3 linked regions of the Oryctolagus cuniculus genome follow. The protein of the gene in region 2 interacts with the protein of the main gene of each other region in a pairwise test. Links are inferred from orthologs where the notes say so. Each region holds a gene or a part of one and is shown on either strand. Other genes may lie near its edges. The genes, in order: F11R, SGTA and SDC4.

Region 1 (7,547 bases), on a different chromosome or scaffold from region 2:
TGGGGAAACAGAAATTTAGGGGCAGAGAAGGTTCTAGATGGGAAGAAGAAAGCAATGATGGCCAGGCTTGCCTTGCTTAGGAGGCTTCAGTCTCTCCTGAACCCCATCCCAGTAGACAAAGCATCAGTTACTACTTCACACTAAAGTTCTCCAAAGGATCTGAGGAACTCCCTGCCTCGGCCCCAAAGCAGCTCTGCCGGCAGCCCTAGAGAAGTCCATTAATGCACCTGGCTGGGCGGGAAGAGGGAGGGGGCACCCTCTCCTCTCACCTGGCTGAGCAGGCCGAGCAGAAGGCCTGGTCACAGAGGGTTCTGGAACGCGTGCTCCAGGAAGCAGCTCTGCCTTGAGATAGGAAACAGGAAGCGAGGCAGGACAGGGTCCTGGGAACCAGCCCCCGGCTGCAGGGAAGGCATTTTCCTGTTTGAACAAAGGAGCTCAGGGACCCTCAAAGATCTCCTTTCTCCAGCTTCCCACAAAAAGAACCTTCGACAAGTCAACTTTTTATTTCCAACATCCAGCTAAGACAAACGCACAGAAACGCAATCTCACCAAAGAGCTAAGATACCTCCCAACATCCATCCAATTTCAGCATTTGGCTAAGACCACACACACACACACACACACACACACGCACACACGGGCTCAGCTGCCACACACGGCCCCACAGACACACACAGTCTCAGAGGGCTCTGTCCAGTTGTTCCAGCCAAGGGAAGGGTGACGGTCTGGGCTACCAGCTCCAGCTTTTCTTCAGAGCTGTGGTTTTAAATCTTTTCCACTCCGTGTCCCCTGAAGGTTTACTGTGCTTCGGCTTTCCTACGGACACAGCGCCAGTCTGCTTTTGTTCAGACGGAGGACAGGACCCCGTGGCACTTCCGGTGAGGAGACAGAACAGTGGGCTCCAGAGATGGAGGAGATTTAACGTCATCACCAAACAACGGTTCCAGCCGCTCCAGTCTCCGACCCCCACTCCAGAATGGCTGGCACTGGCTCTCCATGGGGAGGGAAACCGATTCAGAAGCCACTGCGGCCCAGCTGGGTAGCGATGGCGGGTTTCAGGAAGCCCCACCCCTCTGGCTGTCTACGTAGAAGGGAGTTAATAGGCACAGCCGGGATTCCTGTCTGACCCCTCATAGGCTGAGGAATACGAATTTTCTACAATCCCAGGCCACTCGGCAGCAGCAGGATTGAGAGAGAGTGTGTACAGGGAGAAGGGGCACATAGCTGACATCATTAAAAAACACATCCTAACTGAGATGCTAGTAGAGGGCCTGTGAAAACTACAGACACCAGGGGCTAGAGTCTAGTAGCACCGGAGTAAGGCAAGCACAGGACCAGGCGGGAGCCAGACCAGGGTCACACCAGGAATGACGAGGTCTGTTTGAATTCGCCCTGGGGAGAGAAAACATCCAGTCAACTCTCTCTAGTTTTCTTTAGCCTACAATCCCCCAAACACAGGCACACACAGGCTGGGAACCCCCTCACTCCCTGGGAGTGTGTGGGGGTGTGCGTGTGTGTGCAGAGGTCCCCTTCCCCAGGGCAGTGTACTCACGTCACTTCTAGCAGTGGGCTGGCTGTAGATCACCTTCTTGCTGGAGGTCCTGCAGATGAAGATGGAAGATGGAGACACTCAGGTCCCCAGGTGCAGAGCCACCCCCTCCCCTCCAACTTCAGAGGGCAGAACCAAGAACTTTACAGAAGTGCTCAGCAGAGAGGTGTGCACAGAGGGAGACAGGACAAGGCCAGGGTCACAGCAAGCAGGGGTAGAAATCCCAAGGTCTTCCCCCGAGGCTGGCTGTCTCCTTCTCCAGCCCATCCCCCTGGGCCCATGCTGCAAACCACATGCATCCACGTTTTCACCTCCGACAATCCCAGGACAACATGTCACTCACCCTTTCTTTGTTCCTAGAAGAGAAAAAAAAAAAAATGGGATCTTGAGTGTCAGCAGGGTACAAGACAGCATGGCACACACAATGAGGGGACTAGCACGGGGCATCTGATACATGCTAGATCAGGTGACCCATGCTCCTGGGGAGGGGGGGAGACACCCATATCCAGGGACAAAGTGTCAGGGTCAGGGCTCGGAGAGCACCCATGAACCCATGCCTGGGATGGAGACAACACAAAGGAGAGCCAAACTCACTGTCAAAGTAGCCTCGGCTATAGGCAAACCAGATGCCTGCGATCAAGACTCCAAGGAGAATCAGCGTGACCAGGACAGCAGCCACAATGCCCCCTACATTCAGCTCCACTGTGAGACACAACACGAGGTCAGGTGCCTGGGTGCTTACCTGTGGTACCAATAACATAGCCACTCAAGGACTGAATGCAAGCACCAACCACACTCTCACTCACCAGCTTCCATGCGCACAGCATTTGACATCACCGGTGTCCCGAATCCATTCTGTGCCTGACAGCTGTATTCTCCAGTATCAAAGGCTGACAAGGGATCAAAGACCTAGAAACAAATTGGCTTTCTGCTTGAAAAAGCCAAGAACCTCTCCCAAGTATCCCCTGATCCTGACTCCAAGTCCACTTTGTTGCTTGTTCAGGGGTTCTGCAACTGTGCCTCTCATACATCTTCCACCCCCACCCCATCCATACCAGCTCCCCTGACTTTTGGTTCAGAGTATAGGAAGAGTTGATGAAGGCACGGTTGTTCTTGGGATCTGTAGGCATCAGCATCCCATCCTTGAACCAGGTGTATTCAGAGGGCGGGGAACCATCTTGTTCTGAGCAGGTCAGTACCACCCGGTTCCCAATGGTGGCGGAGGAGGGAATGTTGACTGTAGGCTTGGATGGAGGCACTGGGAGGGAGAGAAGGAAAGAGGTGCTGAACACAATGGAGGGGTTGGGGGTGTTGCCCGAGTCCAAGTAGCTGCCTAGGATGACACCCCGATCCAAACCCTGTGGCCGCCCTCCCTTGGCAGGCCCCTAATCTGCATCCAGCCAAGGGCTCATCTCCTCTTCGTCATCAACGAGTTCCAGAGCTCAGCAGGGTCTGACGCGGGCTTAGGGAAACAGTCGAAAACACTGTGCACATACCAAGCACAGTGAGCTGGATGGTGACCTCCCCATAGTTGTTGCCGTCGTCCTCAGAGACCATGCATGTGTACGTCCCAGTGTCTTTCCGAGTCACGGAACGGAAGGTGATGCCGCTCGGTGAGAAGGTGACTCGATCCTCATAGGAAGCTGCCAGGAGCAAGGAAGCAAAGGCAGAGCAGAGTGAACAGAGAACAGGAGAACCAAGGAAGGTGGGACCCAAGGTGTACGTAGGTCCTCTTCTTCCTCCAGGAGGCAGAAGGGGAAGGCCAGGGAGACCCAGGCATGGATCAATGATTCCCCAACCTTGGCAATGAGGAAGGAAGCGGGACAACTCACCTGTGATCTTGCTGTTATAGCAGACAAGGCTGGTGGTTGTACCTTGGACAAACTTCCACTCCACACGGGGATTGGAGAAGCCAGAGTAAGTGCAGGGCAACTTTGCCGCTGCAGAGGGTCGAAAGGAGAAGACGGAGAATGATCCCAACCCCTGGCCCTGGAACCCGCTCACCTCACACCCACCCTGCCCCTGCTCCACAGCCCCTCCCAACTCACGATTATTCTCTGCAACTCTGACTTCAGGTTCCGAAGTGTAGACTGTCCCCTTGCCCAGCGCCAGTGAACCTGAGAAGGAAAGAGGTGGGCCCCATCAGCACACAGAACAGGGCTTCTCAGCCGAGATCCTCAGGGGAAAGGAGTCAAGAGATTCGAGCTGAGGCTGGTGCTGTGGAGCAGCAGGTAAAGCCGCCACCTGTAGCGCCGGCATCCATATGGGCGCCGGTTCAAGACCCAGCTGCTCCACTTCCAATCCAGCTCTCTGCTATGGCCTGGAAAAGCAGTAGAAGATGGGCCCCGTGCTGGGACCCCTGCACTTGTCAAAGCAATCCTGGGAGGAAGCTGCGATGCTGCAGGCAAGGCAAGGAGGGTGGGCAAAGGAGGAGCAGAAGGAATGAGGATGATACTCAGCATTTGGGGCCCGCTGGGTGCTTCCCAGAGGGTTTTCACATGTCAGCAGGACAAGTATTATTATCCCAATTTTACACAAGGAACTGAAACTAATAGCAGTTTAAAAAAAAAAAAAAAGGTCGGCACCGCGGCTCAGTAGGCTAATCCTCCACCTTGCGGCGCCGGCACACCGGGTTCTAGTCCCGGTCGGGGCGCCGGATTCTGTCCCGGTTGCCCCTCTTCCAGGCCAGCTCTCTGCTGTGGCCCGGGAGTGCAGTGGACGATGGCCCAAGTGCTTGGGCCCTGCACCCCATGGGAGACCGGGAGAAGCACCTGGCTCCTGGCTTCAGATCAGCACAGTGCGCCGGCCGCAAGTGCACTGGCCGCGGCGGCCATTGGAGGGTGAACCAACGGCAAAAAGGAAGACCTTTCTCTCTGTCTCTCTCTCTCACTGTCCACTCTGCCTGTCAAAAAAAAAAAAAAAAAAAGTGCTAGTCCGAGGTGGAGCCAGGACTGGAAGTGGGCTCCAGCAGCTCGTGAGAACCTCCCACCTGCCAAACAGAGAAAGAAGAGAAAAGGTGCTGGGCGGCGTCGTGGCATAGCAGGCAAATCCCACATGGGCGCTGGCTCAGGTCCCACCTTTCCCACTGCCTTCCAGCTCTCTGCTGTGGCCTGGGAAAGCAGCAAAAGATGGCCCAAGTGCTTGGGCCCCTGCACCCATGTGGGAGACCTGGAAGAAGCTTCTGGCTTTTGGCTTTGGCCTGGTCCAGCACTGGCCATTGCAGCCATCTGGGACGTGAAACAGCAGGCAGAAGCTCTCTCTTTCTTTCCCTCTCTCTCTACAACTCTTCCAAAGTAAATAAATAAACCTTTAAAAGAAACGGTGCTGTGGTGTGGGAGTGGAGAGAGGAAGTGAGGAGCCAGGAGGCTAATAAAATAAGAAGGGGGATGGGCATGGGGTCCACAAGAGGGGGAGGTCCCCACATATGTAACACAATAAGAACCAATGACATGGGGCTAGCACTGTGATGCAATGAGTAAACCCAGCGCCTACAGTGCCGGCATCCCATATGGGCACCGGTTTGAGTCCCGGCTGCTACACTCCCTATCCAGCTTTCTGCTATGGCCTGGGAAAGCAGTAGATGATCCAAGTGCTTGGGCCCCTACACCAGCATGGAAGACCCGGAAGAAGAGGGCTGATAGCGGAGGGCCTTCTTTTGGCAGTATTTCCAGCAGCTGGGGCAGTAGGGCCTTCATTCTTGGAGGGATCTGGTTTGAAGAGCTCCTGTGCCTGTGCATGTCACAGGAGGCAAATCGTAGAATTTAAGCTTCTTTAAAAAGGAGCTGGTGCTGTAGCTTAGTAGGTTAAACCTCCACCTGTGGCGCCAGCATCCCACATGGGCACCGGTTCATGTCTCGGCTATTCTACTTCCAATCCAGCTCTCTGCTATGGCCTGGGAAAGCAGCAGAAGATGGCCCAAGTCCTTGGGCCCCTGCACCCACGTGGGAGACCCAGTGGAAGCTCCTGGCTCCTGGCTTTGGGTCAGCCCAACTCCAGCCATTGTGGCCATTTGGGGAATGAACCAGTGGTTGAAAGACCCCTCTCTCCCTCTCTCTCTCTACCTGTGCCTCTCTGTAACTCTTTCAAATAAATAAATAAATCTTAAACAAAAAAAAAAAAAAAAAATGAACCAATGGCAGAAGATTCTGGAACCACACAATGTGGCCACAAAACTGCACTTACACAATTACCCTCGTTCATGTTTTCACAACTCAAATCTAAGAAGTATGCTTTCATTTGCAGCTGTAAGTCAGAGTCCTGGCTTCCTAGAGCAGTGCATAAAGACCGGTGCAATGCCCACATCTGCGTGCATCAAGCACATTTTCTCGTTATTCACTAACCACGGCCTCCTGACCTGAGACCCCCTTCTGCATCTGAAGGTGAAGGTCTGAACCAGATGCTCCGTAAAGTTTTGGGTTCTTCTTCCCTCTCCGTTGGCATTACATCTAGACAACGCTTCAAAATACCTTTACTTCAGGGGCCAGCGTTGTGGCACAGCGGTTTAAGCTGCTCAGCCCCCATTGAGCATCAGTTCAAGTCCCAGTTGCTCCACTTCCAATCCAGCTCCCAACTAATACGCCTGGGAAGGCAGCAGAAAATGATCCAAGGACACACAGGAAACCCAGATGGAGTTACAGGCTCCTGGCTTCAGCCTGGCCCAGCCCCAGGCAGTGTGGCCATTCAGGGAGTAACCTGTCTGCAACTCTGCCTTTTAAATAAATAAAGTAAATCTTCAAAAATAAATAAATACGTTTATTTCCATCTGACATGACAACACTGTGAATTTGTGCTGATAACTATTACTTCTCCCATTTCACAAACAAGGAAACTAAATGTCTCAAAGGTTCAGTGGTTGCCATGAGAGTATTTCAGGCATGGAAAGCCAAGACATTCTGGCATTAAAAAAAAAAAAAAAAAGGACCTAAATGAAAGATCTCTGTGAGTGAGATCCCAGTGGAAAGAACAGGTCTTCAAACAAGGAGGTACCTTTCTCTGAAGGGAGGAGAGAACTTCCACTTTGACTATGACCTTGTCTAAATAAGAGTCGGAGAACTCAAAAGGCTTCCATAGCCTTGGAAACTCATGACTGGAGCATAGGGAGATTACTGATGCCATAAACAAGAGCGTCAATTTGTTAAGTCAACAACAGGAGTCACTGTGCACTTACTCCTCATGTAGGATCTCTGTCCTTAATGTGCTGTACATTGAGATTTAATGCTATAACTAGTACTCAAACAGTATTTTTCACTTTGTGTTTCTATGTGGGTGCAAACTGTTGAAAGCTTTACTTAATGTATACTAAACTGATCTTCTGTATATATAGAAAATTGAAAATTAATCTTGATAAGAATGGAAGGGGAGAGAGCGCGGGAAAGGGGAGGGTAGCGGGTGGGAGGGAAGTCATTGGGGGAGGGGGAAGCCAATGTAATCCATAAGCTGTACTTTGGAAATCTATATTCATTAAATAAAAGTTAAAATAAAAAAAAAAAAAGGCTCAGTGGTTGGCCCGAGGTTTCAGAGCAAGGAAATGACAGAGCTGAAGTGCCAGAGGCTTCCTCCTGCATCCCTTGTGTTCTATACCCTTCTCTTGTCTGGTAAATACAGCTGTTCCTCAGAACTGCCGTCGGTTTAATGGAGACAAACTATGTAACAAAATGGCATACTTTTTAAAAAAGATCTATTTATTTATTCAAGGGTGAGGAGAGATCTTTGTCCCCTGCTGGTTCACTCCCCAAACGGCTGCAATGATTCAGACTGAGCAAAGCCAAAGCCAGCTTCATCCGGGTCTCCCACGTGGGTGCAGGGGCCTATGCACTTGGGTCATCCTACGCTGCTTTCCCAGGAGCATTAGCAGGGAGCTGGATTTGAAGTGGAGCAGCTGGGTTTTGAACCCGTGATCACATGGGATGCCACTGCTGCACACAGAGGCCCTCAACTGGCCCTCAACACCAGCCCCAAATATTGCATTTAAACCAAATGGCCTCTACTGAACAGAAAG
Region 2 (7,547 bases):
CGATCTTGAGGTTGGACTTGTAGGTCTCGTTGTCGGGGTCCAGCTCCAAGGCCTTCTTGTAGTAGGCCACGGCCTCCGCGTGCTTGTTCAAGCTGGACAGCGCCAGGCTGGGGCGAGGGGGCGGGAGGGGAGCGTGTGGGAGGGCCCAGGAGGACCCTCTGTCCCCCCACGCCCTCAGCTCCGGCGCCCAGCAACCCCGAGCTGCCCCTCCGGCGGCCGGCGGCAGGTGCGCGGGGCGGAGCCTGCCGTGACCACGTGGTGCGTGGGCTCCCAGCTCCTAGGACTTCCCTGGGAGGAGCCGGTTCTCTGGCATTTGTGAGGAGCCCTGGCACTGCCCAGCTCGCTTGGGAAAGGAGCGAGGGGAGGTCCCGGGGGGCACTCACCCCATGCGGCCGTAGGCTTTGCTGTAGGACGGGTCTATGCCGATGGCGCGCTCGCAGTCCTGCACGGCGCCCGCGTAGTTGCCCAGCTTGCTGTAGGCTGCGGCTCTGGGGGGGACAGGCAGGGGCGGTCGGGGCGCAGCCTCAGCGCCCCATCTGGAAAGCGGGCCGTGGCGAGGCTGTCCCAGGGGCCGGCCATGGAGCCACAAGTCCAGCGGGCAGACGCTCGAGGGCCGGGGAGGCCAGCAGCAGGACCCTGCTCAGCCACCTCCCAGCTGTCACGACCGTGCGGGGTCCGTTAGGCGGCAGCCCCAGCTTGCCACGCCCCGTGTGGTCCCGGGGACCCCGTGCGCTCACCCCGCCGAGGGGGCTGCAGCGGGAGTGCACCGCGCACAGCCGTGGGGGGGCCTGGCTGCCGTCCGTGACCGGGTTCTAGTCCCACCCCCGCACTCCCATCCAGAAAGCACAGAGGAGCCCGCACAGTGACACCAGCACCCCCCGTGGGCACTGGTTCGAATCCGGCTGCTCCACTTCCCATCCGGCTCTGCTGTGGCCGGGGGAAGCAGCGGAAGGTGGCCCCTGCACCCGCGTGGGAGACCCGGATGGACTCCTGGCTTCAGCCTGGCCCAGCCCTGGCCGCTGCGGCCACCTCCCTGTGACTCTGCCTTTCAGATACATGAAATAAACTTGCAGAGAGAAGCGGAGCTGGCCCTGACCCTCTCGGGGACGCCGCCCAGAACCGGGGACGCCAGAACCGAGGCTGGGCCGTGTGGAACCCGCCCACGTCACAGAGGTGGCTCGATGCGTGGGACGGGCCCAGCCAGAGACGAGGGTCACGAGGGGGCCCCCACCCATGGCGACCGTGGGTGCGGGGCCTCTCCAAGGAGCCCCGAACCACACAAACGCTCAGAGTGCGGGGGCACAGCCGGCCCGGCTGCCCCGGCGAGAGCGCGGACACGCCCCGAGACCAGAGAACACGGCCGAGCTGCAGCGGGGTGGGGGGCGCTCCCGGGGCTCCCGTGGGCAGCAGGGACCCGAGCACTGGGCCCTCCGGAGCAGGGAGCCGGGCCAGGCCCTCCGTCTGAACCGCTGGGCCGGACACTCGCAGTGTCACACGCGTGACCCAAACGCTTCAGTCGGGAGCTTTCCAGGCACCGGGTCGGTCCGTGGGGTGCACGTGACCCCGCCCAGGCCGAGGGGGGGCTCGGTGCACACGGGACGCTGCCCGGCTCTGGAGCACCTGCCCGGCCTGACCCCTCCCCCCGACCCCCTCCCCGTTCTGACCCCTCCCCCCCGACCCCCTCCCCGCTCTGACACCCTCCCCACTCTGACCCCTCCCCGTTCTGACCCCTCCCCCCCGACCCCCTCCCCGCTCTGACCCCTCCCCGCTCTGACTCCTCCCCGCTCTGACCCCTCCCCACTCTGACCCCTCCGCGCTCTGACCCCTCCCCGGCTCGGCGTCCTGTGCGCAGCTGGACCACCGACCCCTAGCGGCCCCGACGCCCCCCGCGCGCACCTGTTGCAGAAGTAGACGGCGTTGGCCGGGTTCAGCTCGATGGCTTTGCCGTAGAAGTGCACGGCGGCTTCGTAGTTCTCCCCCTTCATCTGCTCGTTCCCTGGGGACGAGGGAGACAGGCCCGCTGCCCCGCGGCACAGCTCGCGGCCCTGGGGGCGCCCACCCGCCCGGGGCACAGCGCCTCCGGACGCTCAGCTCCCCCCAGGCCCTGCCCACTGCCCCCGGCGCGACGTCCGCGGGGCCCTGCACGCAGGGAGCGTCGGAGCCTCGCTCGCTCCTGGCTGCGCGGCGACCACGCTCCCCCACGTGCGGACAGACGCTGGGGCCGCTGCCCCGCCAAGGCTGCCACAGCTGCGGTGACCTTGGCACGGGGCAGCACTGCGGTGGGCCCGGGGATCCGGGCAGCCGGGGGCTCCGCGTCTCCACACCTGGGCTAACCCCGCCCCCTCCCCTCGTCCCCGCCCACCTTCGGTTTTGAGGCGCTCTGCCTCCGCGTAGTCCTCCTCCGAGGGCGGGGTCCGCTCGGGGCTCCTCGGCTCGGGCTGCGTCTCCTGCTGCGGCCAAGGTCAGGGCTCAGACCCTCCCCGGCCAGGGGAGCCCACCGCGCCCCTGCTGCCCGGCCGAGGTCAGGGTGCACACCCTCCCCGCCCAGGGAGAGCCACAGCGCCCCCTGCTGCCCGGCCGAGGTCAGGGCGCACACTCTCCCCGCCCAGGGAGAGCCCACGGCGCCCCCTGCTGCCCGGCAGAGGTCAGGGCGCACACCCTCCCCGCCCAGGGAGAGCCCACGGCGCCCCCTGCTGCCCGGCAGAGGTCAGGGCGCACACCCTCCCCGCCCAGGGAGAGCCCACGGCGCCCCCTGCTGCCCGGCAGAGGTCAGGGCGCACACCCTCCCCGCCCAGGGAGAGCCCACGGCGCCCCCTGCTGCCCGGCAGAGGTCAGGGCGCACACCCTCCCCGCCCAGGGAGAGCCACGGCGCCCCCTGCTGCCCGGCTGAGGTCAGGGCGCACACCCTCCCCGCCCAGGGAGAGCCCACGGCGCCCCCTGCTGCCCGGACCAGGTCAGGGCGCACACCCTCCCCGCCCAGGGAGAGCCACAGCGCCCCCTGCTGCCCGGCTGAGGTCAGGGCGCACACCCTCCCCGCCCAGGGAGAGCCCACGGCGCCCCCTGCTGCCCGGACCAGGTCAGGGCGCACACCCTCCCCCGCCCCTCTCCTGCCCAGGGAGAGCCCACCGCGCCCCCTGCCGCTGTTCTGAGGCTGGGGAATGGGGGCCGGGTGGCCCCGGGCTCACCTTGCCGGTGGCGGCCGCTTCAAAGATTTCCGGCAGGGTCTGGGGCAGCGCCAGGTCGCTGTCGTCCACCGTGACCCCGAAAGCCGTCTCCAGGCACTGGATGGCGACTGTGGGGACAGAGGCCTCGCTGACCGCATGCCTGGGCGGGGCCTGCTTTGCTGCCGCGGCTTTGGCTTTTTTTCACAAAGGACGGGTGGGGGTCCCCCAGCTCCCATCAACCCCAGGCGGGACACGGGCCCAGGGCACCGAGGGCGGTGGGCACAGCAAGGACACAGTGGTGACTTGGGGCTCCCGGTGTGGGGGCTCGGCCCTGCCGCACACGGCGGGGGGGGGGGGGTGCTGGATCCAGCTCAGGACGGGTCCGCGCCAGAACCCCCACCCGGCCCGCCCAGCGCACTCGGCAGTCAGGGGCATCCCGCGGGCACTGTCCGCCCCGGCCTCCTCCACGAGGGGCCTGGCGGGGGGCCACTTCCGTCCCACTGCTGTGCCCACACCGCGCTGCCCAGCGGGCAGACAGCCCCAGGGCCGGCCATGCAAACCCCACGGAGAGCGCCTCTGGTGCCGGCGGGAGCAGCCGGCCCCGGCTGGAGGGGCCGGGGGCGTGGGTGCCCCTGCAGGGGGCACGGGCGTCCGCGTGGGTGAGCGCCGGGGCGGGGCGGGGCGGGAGGGCGGCGGGCACCTTCCAAGCTCTCCTGGGCGTCGGACGAGAGCCCGCCGTGCCGCAGCTGCTCGTGCAGGAACTGGATGATGGCGTAGGCCAGGCGCTTCTTGGTGTCCATCTCGAGACGGGGACGCCGGACGGCTTCCAGCGTCTGCGGGTCCGAGCGCAGGGCGTGAGTCCGGGGCCCAGCTGCCGGGCAGCCGCTCAGAGCGCTGCGGCCAATCCCGCCCCCGCGGGGAGGGGCCAGTGCGGGGATCCGCCCACTTCCCAGCCGAGGCCAGGGGAGCCCCGGGCGTCCGGAGCGCGAGGCGGCGGGAGGGGCAGGGAGCGCCCGGGCCGGGGACCTGGTCCTACGCCCCGGCGGCCGCCCCAGCCCCCAGTTCCCGCGTCCCCCCCTCACCCAGCACCTGGGGGCGGTGCCCCACCCCCCCTCCTGGGGAGCCCGTGGGCTTCAGCCCCGTCTGCGGCCACCGGTGCCACACGCGCTTCTGCAGGGGAGAGGCGAGCGAGGGAGCAGCCCGCAGGGGGGGCGTCCAGGCCCACTCTGCCCCCCCCCGAGCCTCCATCGACCCCTGGACACCGTCCGGGAGCCGCTGGACGCTGTGCCAGCCCACACAGCGAGGTGCGGCCCGGGCCGAGCTCTCAGACAGGAGCCGACGCACTCCCCGAGTGACGGGTGCAGCGCAGAACGGGGCGTCCACGGGACACGGGGCCGGCCGGCAGCCGTGTCCCGCCTCTCCTGTCCTCCCGCCAGCTCCCCGCGGCTGGGCTGGCGGCCACCTTCCCAGAGGCCACTCCCTGGCCCTTGCCCACAGGGCTGGGTGACCTTTCTCGCTATGACCGTGCCCTGGGGGCCCAGGCTGAGGGGGGAGTGGGAGAGGCGCGGTGCTGGGCACACGGGTGGGGCCGAGTGAGTCCCGGCCTCTGCTGTCCGGCCACCGACAGATGAAAGTGACGCAGGAGGACACCCCGGCCGGCACCCAGGAGGGCCGGAGTCCCCGAGCCAGGACGCGGCCTCGGGAGGGGTGCCGGACGCTCACAGGCCCCTCCCCGAGTGCCGGGTGCCGTCAGGGGCTGCCTGGGCTGGGTCGCCAGGGCGGGCCCCGTAAGACCCGAAGCTTTGCACGCGGGACAGACAGGGAGCTGGGGGGACTGGTCCAGCGCTAAGGAGCGCCGAGGACGCCAGCCGCCACGGCAGCTGGGGCAGGCCGGGGACGCGGCCGCCCTCGGCCTAGGACCTGGGCAGCGGCTGCCCCATCCCCCGACCACTGAAGCCGCGGCGTGCAGGGGGCTGTGCCACAGCGGCTACGGGCGCCGTGCACCTGTGCAGGGTGGTGGCGCAGCCTGTGGCGGGGGACACAGCAGCAGGTCCCGCGTGGTCGCTGGGCTGGTCGGGAGTGGCTCTCGCTTCTCCCAGGGAACGCGCGCTCGCCCAGGCGGCCCGAGAGGTACGGCCGGACACAGGGCTGCGTGCTGTGGGCGTCCACGGGCGGAGGCGGCCGCAGGCGGGAAGGGGCGTGGCGACGGCAGGGGAGCGGAGGGCAGGAGGCCACGTCCCACTGTGTCCTGGGAAATCGAATTCCCTCCCCGCCACCCGGGGGTGGGAGCTTGGGGGAGGCTGGGGGCTTCCGCCCCATCTCGGCACAGTCGGGGGCCGGGCCCCTGAGCAGTTGGCCGGCGCCCCGCAGACAAACGAGGACCTCGATGGACGCTGTGGGGCCCACCTCAGCGCTCCGGACACAGGGGCCAGCACCATCCGGGGGTGTGCGCCTGCGCGGGGGGCTGCTTCCTGCCCCTCACCTGAGCCATGGGGGGGCCAGCACCATCGGGGGGTGTGCGCCTGCGCGGGGGGCTGCTCCCTGCCTCTCACCTGAGCCATGGGGGGGCCAGCACCATCCGGGGGGTGTGCGCCTGCGCGGGGGGCTGCTCCCTGCCCCTCACCTGAGCCATGAGGGGGTCCCGGGGGTCAGAAAACCAAGAGGCCGCCTCCCCCCTCGGGTGAGCCTCCGCGCCTCTGCGCTCGCCACCCCCTGCCGGAACACCGCCCACCCCCACCGCGCCCCAGGCCTCTCCTGCCCCCACCTTGGAGAGACGGGCCCTGGTCGCTGGCTGCCCCCTGCCCGCGCCCCGGGGGCCCCGGTCCCCCTCGCCGTCCCTGGCCTTGCGAGGCGTGGGCGGTCCGGCGGCCTGGCCTTTCTGGAATGGGGGCGGGGCCCCTGCCCTGCACGAGGCTGAGCGGCGCCCCCAGCTCGCCCCATGAGACCCCTGGGTCTCGGGGATTCCACTGACGCCCCGGGCGCTGCACACACTTGACCTCACTCCGGGGGGGGCTGCCTGACCCTCACACCTGCCCCCCTCTGCAGTCACGCGTGCGCAGGGCGGGCCTCCGGGCCGGGGAGCGGCGCCCCGGGCTGTGCTCCCTCCGTGCCAGGAACAGCCCCGGCCGTGACAGCCGCGGACCGCCCCCGCCAGCCCCAGCTGAGCGCCACTGGCCAGAGAAGAGAGGCCGCCCGTCAGCGAGGGTCAGCGAGGCGCGCCCGCCGCCCGAGGACCCCTATCCGGGGGAGGGCGGGACCCGGGACTCAGTGCACACCCGCCAGGCTGGCCGAGCAGGCGGCCAGCGCCGCCCCCGGTGCCCGCGGAACAATGGCAGCCTGTGGGCTCTGGCCGGGGGCAGCGGGGTGGGGGGGACGGCACGCAGTGGCGGCCACGCCTCCTCCAAAGGCCACCGCGAGGCCTGGGCTGGGGCGCGGAGGCAGAGGCCAGGGTGGGCCGCCGGGTCCCAGAGACGGGTCCCGCGTGGGCTGCTCCGAGCCCCCTTCCGCTGACTCTACCCCCCATCCTGCCGCCAGAACCCGGACACGGCAGCCGCCGCTCGCTGCCCCCCTCCCCTGCAGTGCTGAGCGCGGGGACCCCCGTGGACTCGTGGCCCCGCCCCTCCGCCACCCTGGAGGCGTAGCCACGCCCCGCGGGAGCCCCGCTGTGTTCCCGGGAGGCAGCGGTGCCTCCGCGCGGAGTGCGGGCAGACGCGGGGTCCTCCCGGGGGCTCCGGGCGCCACCCAGTCCCGCAGCGTCCCCAGGAGAGAAACCCGGGCGTCCGCACGCTCCAGCCGCAGCCCCCCGAGCTCTGGCGACGCCCCCGCCGTCCCACGGGCCGGAACCCCTGCACCTGCTCCGTCCAAACCTGGGAGCTCCCGGGAGGTCTCCTGGGTCCCCCACGCCTGCCTGCCTCCCCCACTCGGGCCGGGCCGGGCACGAGTGCGGCTGCAGCTCCCCAGGGGCCCGGGCTGGGCAGAGCAGTCCCCGCGGGGGTCACTCGCCCTCCCAGGAACCCTCATATCCTTGGGCCAGAGGTCACGACACTGCGGTTCCAGCCTCGGCCGGAGGGTGCCCGAGGGAGGAGCGTGGCCATGGGGGGGCGGATTCTGTTCACAAAAACTGTGGCTCCCGGGCCTGCTCAGCCTCCGGGCTGGTGGCGACCAGGCTCCCCATTACACAGAAAGACGGACACGGCCCGGAGCCCCGAACCCAGGCAGGCGGGCTCGGAGCCGCCACTCCCATGGGCCCGTCTTCCCCCTCCGCATAAACCCGCACACACCCTGAGCACCAGGGAGGCTCGGGGCCACCCCCAGGCTATGCCCTGGGCACCGCAAGACGGCACACGGGGTGCACCCCCTGCCCCGGCACCACGCATGGCCCCC
Region 3 (7,647 bases), on a different chromosome or scaffold from region 2:
TCTGTAACTCTGCCTTTCAAATAAATAAATCTTAAAAAAAGTTGTCAAGCCAGTCTGTAGTGGTTCATGAGGGTCAATTTTTGGGAATTTTCCATGTTGATTGTTAAGGAAATTATTACTTAGAATGAAATTACATAAATGTATAGTTAAATATATTATTTAATTTTTTATTTATTTTCATTTCATTTGAAAGGTAGAAATCTTCCATCTGTTGGCTCATTACCGAAATGCTTGCATAGTCAGGGCTAGGCCAGCCAAAGCCAGGAGTCAGGAACTCCAACTGGGTCTCCCATGTGGGTGGCAGAGCCATCACAGCTGCTTCTCAGGGCGCACATTAATGGGCAGCTGGAATGGAAGCAGAGGTGGGACTCCTACCTGGGCACTCTGATACAGGAATGTCCCAAGCCAGAAGTCCGCTCTGAATAAATTATTTTGAAAACAATGGAAATCCATATTTAGAGCTCACCCCTTTATAATAATCTCACTGCACTTTACTGCTAGCTATGCCCACATTCCTACCTGCATGACCTGTGACATCTCATTAGTAACCTGAGATCAGCCACGGGGGAAGTATTTACACTACAGACTTTGGCAAATGTTACAAAGTTGTCCTCGCTGCTGTCCCCAGCTCAGTGTTAAACACTTAACTGCAGAACACTGGCTGCTGAGTAGCCTGAAACTTTCTGCACTCAGAGAAGCTGGTGGGAACAGAAGGAGTCTTGTTCCAGCAATGTGATGACAGGCAGCTAAAATCCCATAGCGATCTACCATCAAAAACCATTTTTACTTTTTAACAGATTTTTTCATTTATGTGAAAGGCAGAGAACTATCTTCCACCCGCTGGTTCACTCTGCATATGAGGCCCACGTCAGGAGCCTTGAACTTTTGTCCGGTCTCCTACGTGGGTGGCAGGGGCCCAAACACCTGGGCAGGGAGCTGTTTTCAGAAGTGGAACAGCCAGGACAACTGGCGCCCATACGGGATGCCAGCATTGCAGGCGGTGGCTTTACTTGCTATGCCACAATGCCGGCCCCCCAAAATGATGTATTTGTTGACAACTAATTAGGCTCTCCTTCAAGTCTTGTAGAAAGCAAAATTGTCAACCATTTGACTTGCTCCACTTCTGACCCAGCTCTCTGCTATGGCTTGGGAAAATAGAAGAAGGGAAAACAGCAGAAGATGGCCCGAATCCTTGAGCCCCTGTACCTACGTGGGAGACCCGCAAGAAGCTCCTGGCTCCTGGCTTCAGATAGGCGTAGCTCCAGCCATTGTGGCCATCTGGGGAGTGAACCAGCAGATGGAAGACCTCTCTCTCTCTGCCTCTCCTCTCTGTGTGTAACTCTGACTTTGAAATAAATAAATAAATCTTTAAAAATACTTTTAAAAAATCTTTAAACAAATAAAACCACATTCCAGCATAAGAAATGTAGTGGTCCTTTTCTATGGAGCACTGCCTGCCTCCAGGACCCTGCAGAAGACAAAACCCCCTCTGCTCAAGCACTCGTATTTGCATATAAATTACACACACCAACCAGCATACTTAACTACCTCTAGATTACTTAAAATACCCAGTGCAATGTAAATGTTATGTAAATAATCCTTACATAGTATTGTTTAAGGATTCTGGACAAGAAAAAGATAAAAGGACAAAAAAAAAAAAAAAAAAAAAAAGCAAGCAAGCAAGCAAGCAAGCAAAAAGCCTACACAGTAGGTTAATCCTCCTCCTGCAGCATCCCACATGGGTTCTAGTCCTGGCCGCTCCTCTTCTGATCCAGCTCTCTGCTATGGCCTGGGAAAGCTGTGGAAGATGGCCCAAGTGCTTGGGCCTCTGCACCAGTGTGGGGGATCTGGAGGAAGCTCCTGGCTCCGGATCCACTCAGCTCCAGCCGTTGCGGCCACTTGCGGGGAGTGAACCAGCGGATGGAAGACCTCTCTGTCTCTCCCTCTCACTGTCTGTAACTCTACCTCTCAAATAAATAAATAAATAAAATCTTTAAAAAAAAAAAAAAGCCTAAACATGTTCAAACAAAATCCCTCCCCCCAAATACAGGTGTTTTCCATCAAGTGTTGCATCCTTGGATGAAGAACCGCGATGAGGCGGGTGGGCAGGACGGGGCTATGCATCCTGGTACCCTGATTGATCATAAGAAGACCCCCCCCCCCCCATCTCCAACAGCTCCTGTGCTAGCACTCCCAAGATGCTTTGAGCAGTTCGAATCCTGGCTATTCTCCACCCACTGTGAGGAGATGAGGGCTTCTGTGAAAGGAGAACAGACCAGATCTCAGAGCCGGCAAACCTTCCGGAAAATTCGAAATCTGGAAGACGAAAAAGCCCTTCAAACAGGTCAGGCACCCTGAGGCCAAAGTCTGAGGCCCATCCGGGACTTCAGTACAGCCCCCAGCTTGGAATGCTTTCTCCGTTTTTACATGGTTGGGGGGAAAAGTCAAAAGAATCATTTTTCACACCATGTGAAGGCGATGGGAAATTCAAATTTCAGGGTCCACAGAGAACGTCTTATTAGAAGACCGCCAGGCTCACTCCTCTGAGCGCTGGGGCGGCGCGTGAGCCGGCACGCCGGGGTTTTAGGGTCCGCAGCAGATGGTCAGACCCGCTAGCACTGAAAAAACGCCGCCCTTTGCAGGAGCCGGCAGACCCCCGCTCGCGCCACCGGGGGTCACACTCGGCACGGGAGGTCGGTCGTCCGCCACCCGGCGGCGCGCTGAAGGCTGGTCTACACGGACGAAGCGGGGCCAGTCCTCAGTCCCCGGGCCTCAGTGTCCCCAGCCGTTAAGTGGGGTCTGCCGCAGGCATGTCCAGGGGCTCCGGGAGGGGAGGACTGGGGTTGACTGGGAGCATGGCCGGCACGCACGGGCGGGTCCCTCGGGGTTTCCAGCCCCAACGGGAGGCGCAGCGCCCAGCAAGCTCGGTGTTCGCGGGGGAATTCCGGGCGGGGTGCGGGTGGCGGGGGCGGGGGTGGGCAGGGCCGGGCCTGGCCGGGGCGGGGCCGGCCGCTATAAGTTGGGCCGCGCGCCCGCCCCGGGCCACTCGCTGCAGTCTGCGCGCCCGCCCTGTGCCGCGGTACCATGGCCCCCACTCGCCTGCTTGCGCTGCTGCTGCTGTTCCTCGTCGGCGCCGCCGCAGAGTCGGTAGGTGCTTGGGGACCCCCGGGCCGGGGGAGACGAGCCGGTGTCTCCTTTGTTCCTGCGAGCCTGGGACTGGAGGCGGGGGGCCACGCGGGGGGATGCGCCGCCGCCCCCTGGACGCCGAGGCCGGGCAAACTTGGTTGGAAACTTTGCTCCGGGACTGGCTCCTCCGCGCGCAGTGCGCTCGAAGCTCGTGGCTCTCGCCGCCTGCCCCGGCCGACGTGACTAAGCCGGTGTCAGCGCTCTGCCCCCGCCCCCTCGGGCCTGTCCCGGGACCCCCGGGCAGGCTCGGAGCGCTGAAGCCCCCGCCTCGCGGTCTGCGTGCCGGGAGAGGGCAGCTCTAGAATCCGGGTGGCCTGGGGATCGGAGAGGGGGCTTGCTGCGTGTGCTCCGAAGGGGGGAGGGGTTTCACATGCCGGGGAGCGGGGAGCTGAGCCCGCGCCTCGCTTCTGGACGCAGCCCCGCCGTCGACTTGGGCGTCTCACTTTCGCCATCTGCACACAGGCTGGGCGCGAATGGGGGGAGCCGCTCCGCTTCTTTAGGGTTCCATAGAAAGTTGGGAGTCTGACCTTTCAAGGGCACCCGGGAGGGGCCGCCGAGGCTCGGCGCTTGGTCAGAAGCTGAATCTCTGCCCTCTGCAATGAGACGGTTCGTTTCTGCCCAGCTGGCGCCAACCCCCCCCCCCCCAGGAGGTTGAAGCGCCCCCCTTGACTGGGGTGAGGGGGTGGGGGTAGAAGGCCCCAGAGAGCTCGGAGAAACCTTTCCTTCTCACTTGGCTGGTCTCCCTCGCGCTTTCCTCCCTCAGCCAGGAGAGAGGCAGCCTGGGCTGGGGGCTAGGGCGCGGAGGCCAGAGATGATCCGGGTGAGCCTTGCAGTTTAATCATTAAAGTTAATTGCTTTGAGAGACCTCGGACTACTTAGAGGCAAAGCTGTCTCTGCCTGGCAGGCTGAGGCCACAGCCAGCAGCGCAAATCCCAGGCCCTCGGGGACTTAATCCAGCGTTCAGCCCTCTTAGGGTGCCGGGCACTGTTCTAGTAGCTTTCTAATAGCTCTTTCCTCCAGCAGAATTCCAACAACACCCCACTGTTTACTGTTCTTCCTCTGGTCCTGAAGGAAGAAAGGTTAGTAACTAGCCGAAGGTCACACAGTTAATTAGGGGCTGAATCAATTTAAATGCAGGTGGCCGGTCATTTATCTTAACTTCCAGGCTTCTGCTACTGGGTGGATCCTGGGCAGCTCAGCGCTGGTTTAGAGCCTGTTAGGGTTTTAGGCTGGAAGGCCTCTGGGAATTCTGGGGTGTGACGCCTTCCCAGTCTGAGGGCAATTTTGCCCAAAGGTCAGTGGCTGAGCCAGGACTAGAACCCACGTCCTCAGCCTCCCTGGTGCTATGCACTACACTGGCCCCCAGAGGAAGTGGCTGATGCGAAGCAGGTGGGAAGGTCTTAAAGGGGACTCTGCCTGGGTGAGGGGGCCCTGGAGGGCTGCTGAAGTTGTCAGAGGGGTGGTCACACTCCCGTTTCTCCCCAGGGCTGCTGAGCCGCCAGGTGCTTGGGGTGAGGAGCAGACAGCTGTGTCCCGGGGGCAGTCCGAGGATGTGGTTTGGGGGAGGGCACTGTGGCAGCCCTGCAAAAGGCCACCTATTGGTGGGGGAGAACTCAGCCAGGACAGCTGCTTCCTGAGACAGGTGTCAGTCTCTCATCCTGACCTTAGCGCTCCCCTTCCTGGCTACCGTCATGACCTCCTGCCTCTCACTGGGCTTCCCGGTTTGTCCCCCACCCCCTCAGGCTGTGGCTGCAAAGGGCTTGGGAGAGGTGATCTCCTGTGCCAATTTTTTTTCTTGTTGCAGGTAGAGAAAAGTGAAGCCAGGAAGAAGGGTTTCCCTAATAGCCATTAGGGTTGACTGAGTACTTTGCAAATGCCAGGTCTGGTGCATTTTATCCTCATAAAAGCCCCTAGCATGGTGGGGATTGTATTGTGCCCACTGTCCAGATGAGGGAAAGTGGGACCAACATGGAGTAGCAGAGAGCACCCAGGCCATCTGAATCTCTGACCAGCAGTCCCCTCCCCGAATGCTGTCTGGACCCCTTCCCAGCGTTAGGATGAATGTCTTTTCCTTGGGTGGCCCTCTTCCCCCATACTGCCACAGGTTCCGGGGAGCAGGACCCAGACTGAGTACCCAGCACCCTCTCCTGTCCTGTTTGGCGGGCTTACCATCCCTAAACCTGTTCTTCCTGTCCAGCCGGGAGCCTCCCCCCCCCCCCCCCCCCCCCGATCTGCTTTCTTGCCACTCCCTCTCTGGCCAATTAAAGGCAGCCTTGTTTTGGGAGTCAGCCCCCCACCCCCCATCCCTCAGCAGCCAGAGGGGTGTTAGTGCTCAGGGGCATGGCCCTCTGACTTGGCCACGAGGCCCGGAGGCCCGGGCAGTTCTGAGGAGGTGTCCCCTACCCACCAGATGTACTTGAACTTCAAGACACTTCTGGTCTGCCCGAGAGTCCGCTGCTTGATTGCCCCCAAGTGGGGCTGGGGGCGGAAGTCTTGAGTGGTCCCTGAGAGCCACTGGGACTTCAACTCCTGGGCCTCGAAAGTTATCAAACCCCCAGGCAAATATTTGGAGGGCCCCATGAGGCTGAGGAAGTGGGCTGGTGTTCCCTGTCTATAAAATGGGTGTTTGCGCTGGACGCCTCCCACAGCCCTTGCTAGCTCTGATATTTGATTAATAATTAAGTGCCAATTGCTCAAAAGGGACTGTGGAACCCATAAGAGCATTTAAGGCATTCCCCTACCTTGGAGAAGCTTGTACTTCCCCGGAGAATTAAGGCACACCACCTCATTCTGGCAGGGGGGAGGTGCCCCCTCCCTACCCCCCCCCCCCAGGGCAGGAACTCTGCTCTGTTTGAGTGAAATACCCGTCCTGTAGCTGGTACTTAGGAAATGCTTGCATGAATAACAATTCATGACCGTAACTTCGTGTTTCTCAACGGCGCACTGAGCGTGTGCATTCCGGGTAGGAATGCCTCCCAGTGACACGGAGGCGGGTGTGATGCCCCTTTTTCTGCAAGAAATTGATGCTCTGAGAAATGTGGTGGCTTGGCGAGGTCAGAACCAGGTCTGACAGTGCACGGCGTCTGCCTGAGTGTCCTCCTTGAACGTTGCTGGGTTTGAAGGCAGAGCCACATTTCTGTCCTGCTGGGTGACCTTGAGCATACGGGGCCCGTGTCCCCAACTCTTAAATGAGGAGGGCTGGATACTGCCTCTGAAGGGTTCTTGCTGCCCATTGAGGAGGGGAGAGGCGCTTTCTTGGCCTCCCTGATGAGGCGCTTAAACAAGTCCCAGTCTCTGAAGAGACGTGGGGTGAACATTCAGCTCCTGCCATCCTCCAGCTCCTAGGAACCGAGGGCTTTTCCAAGGACTTGGAGTGCTGAGCGGGTCTGAATGAGGAACTGGGGTAGCCAGGCTGAGCTGCCAGCCCCGGCTCCCTGTGGGGAGGAATTGTCCTTCAGCCTCCCGGACTGGACTGGGGGTGTGTGTGGTTTCGAAATAAATATTTAAAATCGGGGGCAGGGGCTGGACAGTGCTTTGTGAGTCACTGCAGACTGGCAAGCCTTCCTGAGTCACCCACTTCCTTTCATCCTCCTGGCTAATAGGATGGCTGCGTGCTGGCCGTGCAGGACAGGGCTGCTGAGTCTTACCTCGTCCTCTGGATTCCCCGCCCCACCTCCGGCCTTGAGGGAGGGGTCATATAGGAAATGCTCCAATGAAGCCCTCAGCCTTCACAGTCCCTTGCCTGTGGGTGGACCTTGACATTGCACGGAGTTTAGCCAGTCCTCAAAATCCATCTTTAGCCCTCTTGCAGAGCAGGTGGCATTGTCCACCCACCTCCCCCCAGAGCCAACCTGAGGCTGCACCTGGTCTGGGTTCCCAGAGCAAAGCAGGCATGGCTGGGATTTTATCTGACTCCAGGAGCCTCTGTCACCCCCTCCTTGCTTCCTGGGGCTGGCAGGAGGGCACTGAAACAGTGGTTTGGAGTCGGGCAGATCTAACTCCGGCTCTTAATTGCTGGCTCCGTGGCTTTGGACTTGCTGCTCAAGCTCTCCGAGCCCCCTAGCCTCAGGCCTGAGAGGGGGGAGGTGTCTCTTGGTGACAAGGCCCTTCCTTGCCCAGGCCACCTGGACGCCAGGTGCTCTTTTGAGGATTCCACCTGCCCCCCCTCCTGGAAAGCCTCTCACCTCCCCCATAACCGTATCCAACTCCATAGCTGCAAGGTGGGAAGGGAGGGGTCCAGGGTGGGGCTGCGGAGCCCAAATCTCCTATTTGTTTATCTTAGAAGTGGGCTGTTTGCTAATTATCAGATGAGTTTATATTTAAACAAGAACCAGTTCCCAGCAGCCCCACCTCTCCCACCAGGATCTATAGGGGCCCCATGCTAAGCTGCTTGCAGCATGGAGGGGCGGGGGGGGGGTGGGAGCGGGGGAGAAGGGGCAAGGGCTTCGCCAAGGGTACCCG

Evidence for each region.
Region 1: the proteins of SGTA (region 2) and F11R interact in binary tests that used the Homo sapiens proteins (3 or more experiments, as listed by UniProt). The two-hybrid records come from large-scale screens. The link is inferred for Oryctolagus cuniculus from reciprocal best matches to the Homo sapiens genes SGTA and F11R.
Region 3: the proteins of SGTA (region 2) and SDC4 interact in binary tests that used the Homo sapiens proteins (3 or more experiments, as listed by UniProt). The two-hybrid records come from large-scale screens. The link is inferred for Oryctolagus cuniculus from reciprocal best matches to the Homo sapiens genes SGTA and SDC4.

Annotation. Positions count from the first base shown.
Region 1 is NC_091438.1:37,791,701-37,799,247, reverse strand, and holds the end of F11R (junctional adhesion molecule A), read right to left. Parts: intron 3,667-7,547; coding exon 3,598-3,666; intron 3,490-3,597; coding exon 3,382-3,489; intron 3,193-3,381; coding exon 3,046-3,192; intron 2,808-3,045; coding exon 2,605-2,807; intron 2,459-2,604; coding exon 2,356-2,458; intron 2,252-2,355; coding exon 2,144-2,251; intron 1,906-2,143; coding exon 1,893-1,905; intron 1,602-1,892; coding exon 1,553-1,601; intron 1,393-1,552; coding exon 1,357-1,392; 3' UTR 489-1,356; downstream 1-488. UniProt on the Homo sapiens protein: Seems to play a role in epithelial tight junction formation. Appears early in primordial forms of cell junctions and recruits PARD3.
Region 2 is NC_091447.1:59,200,754-59,208,300, forward strand, and holds part of SGTA (small glutamine-rich tetratricopeptide repeat-containing protein alpha), read right to left. Parts: intron 3,998-7,547; 5' UTR 3,965-3,997; coding exon 3,865-3,964; intron 3,293-3,864; coding exon 3,186-3,292; intron 2,451-3,185; coding exon 2,363-2,450; intron 1,997-2,362; coding exon 1,897-1,996; intron 489-1,896; coding exon 384-488; intron 108-383; coding exon 1-107. UniProt on the Homo sapiens protein: Co-chaperone that binds misfolded and hydrophobic patches-containing client proteins in the cytosol. Mediates their targeting to the endoplasmic reticulum but also regulates their sorting to the proteasome when targeting fails.
Region 3 is NC_091442.1:13,908,292-13,915,938, forward strand, and holds the start of SDC4 (syndecan-4), read left to right. Parts: upstream 1-2,990; 5' UTR 2,991-3,084; coding exon 3,085-3,147; exon of another isoform or gene 3,148-5,394; intron 5,395-7,647. UniProt on the Homo sapiens protein: Cell surface proteoglycan which regulates exosome biogenesis in concert with SDCBP and PDCD6IP.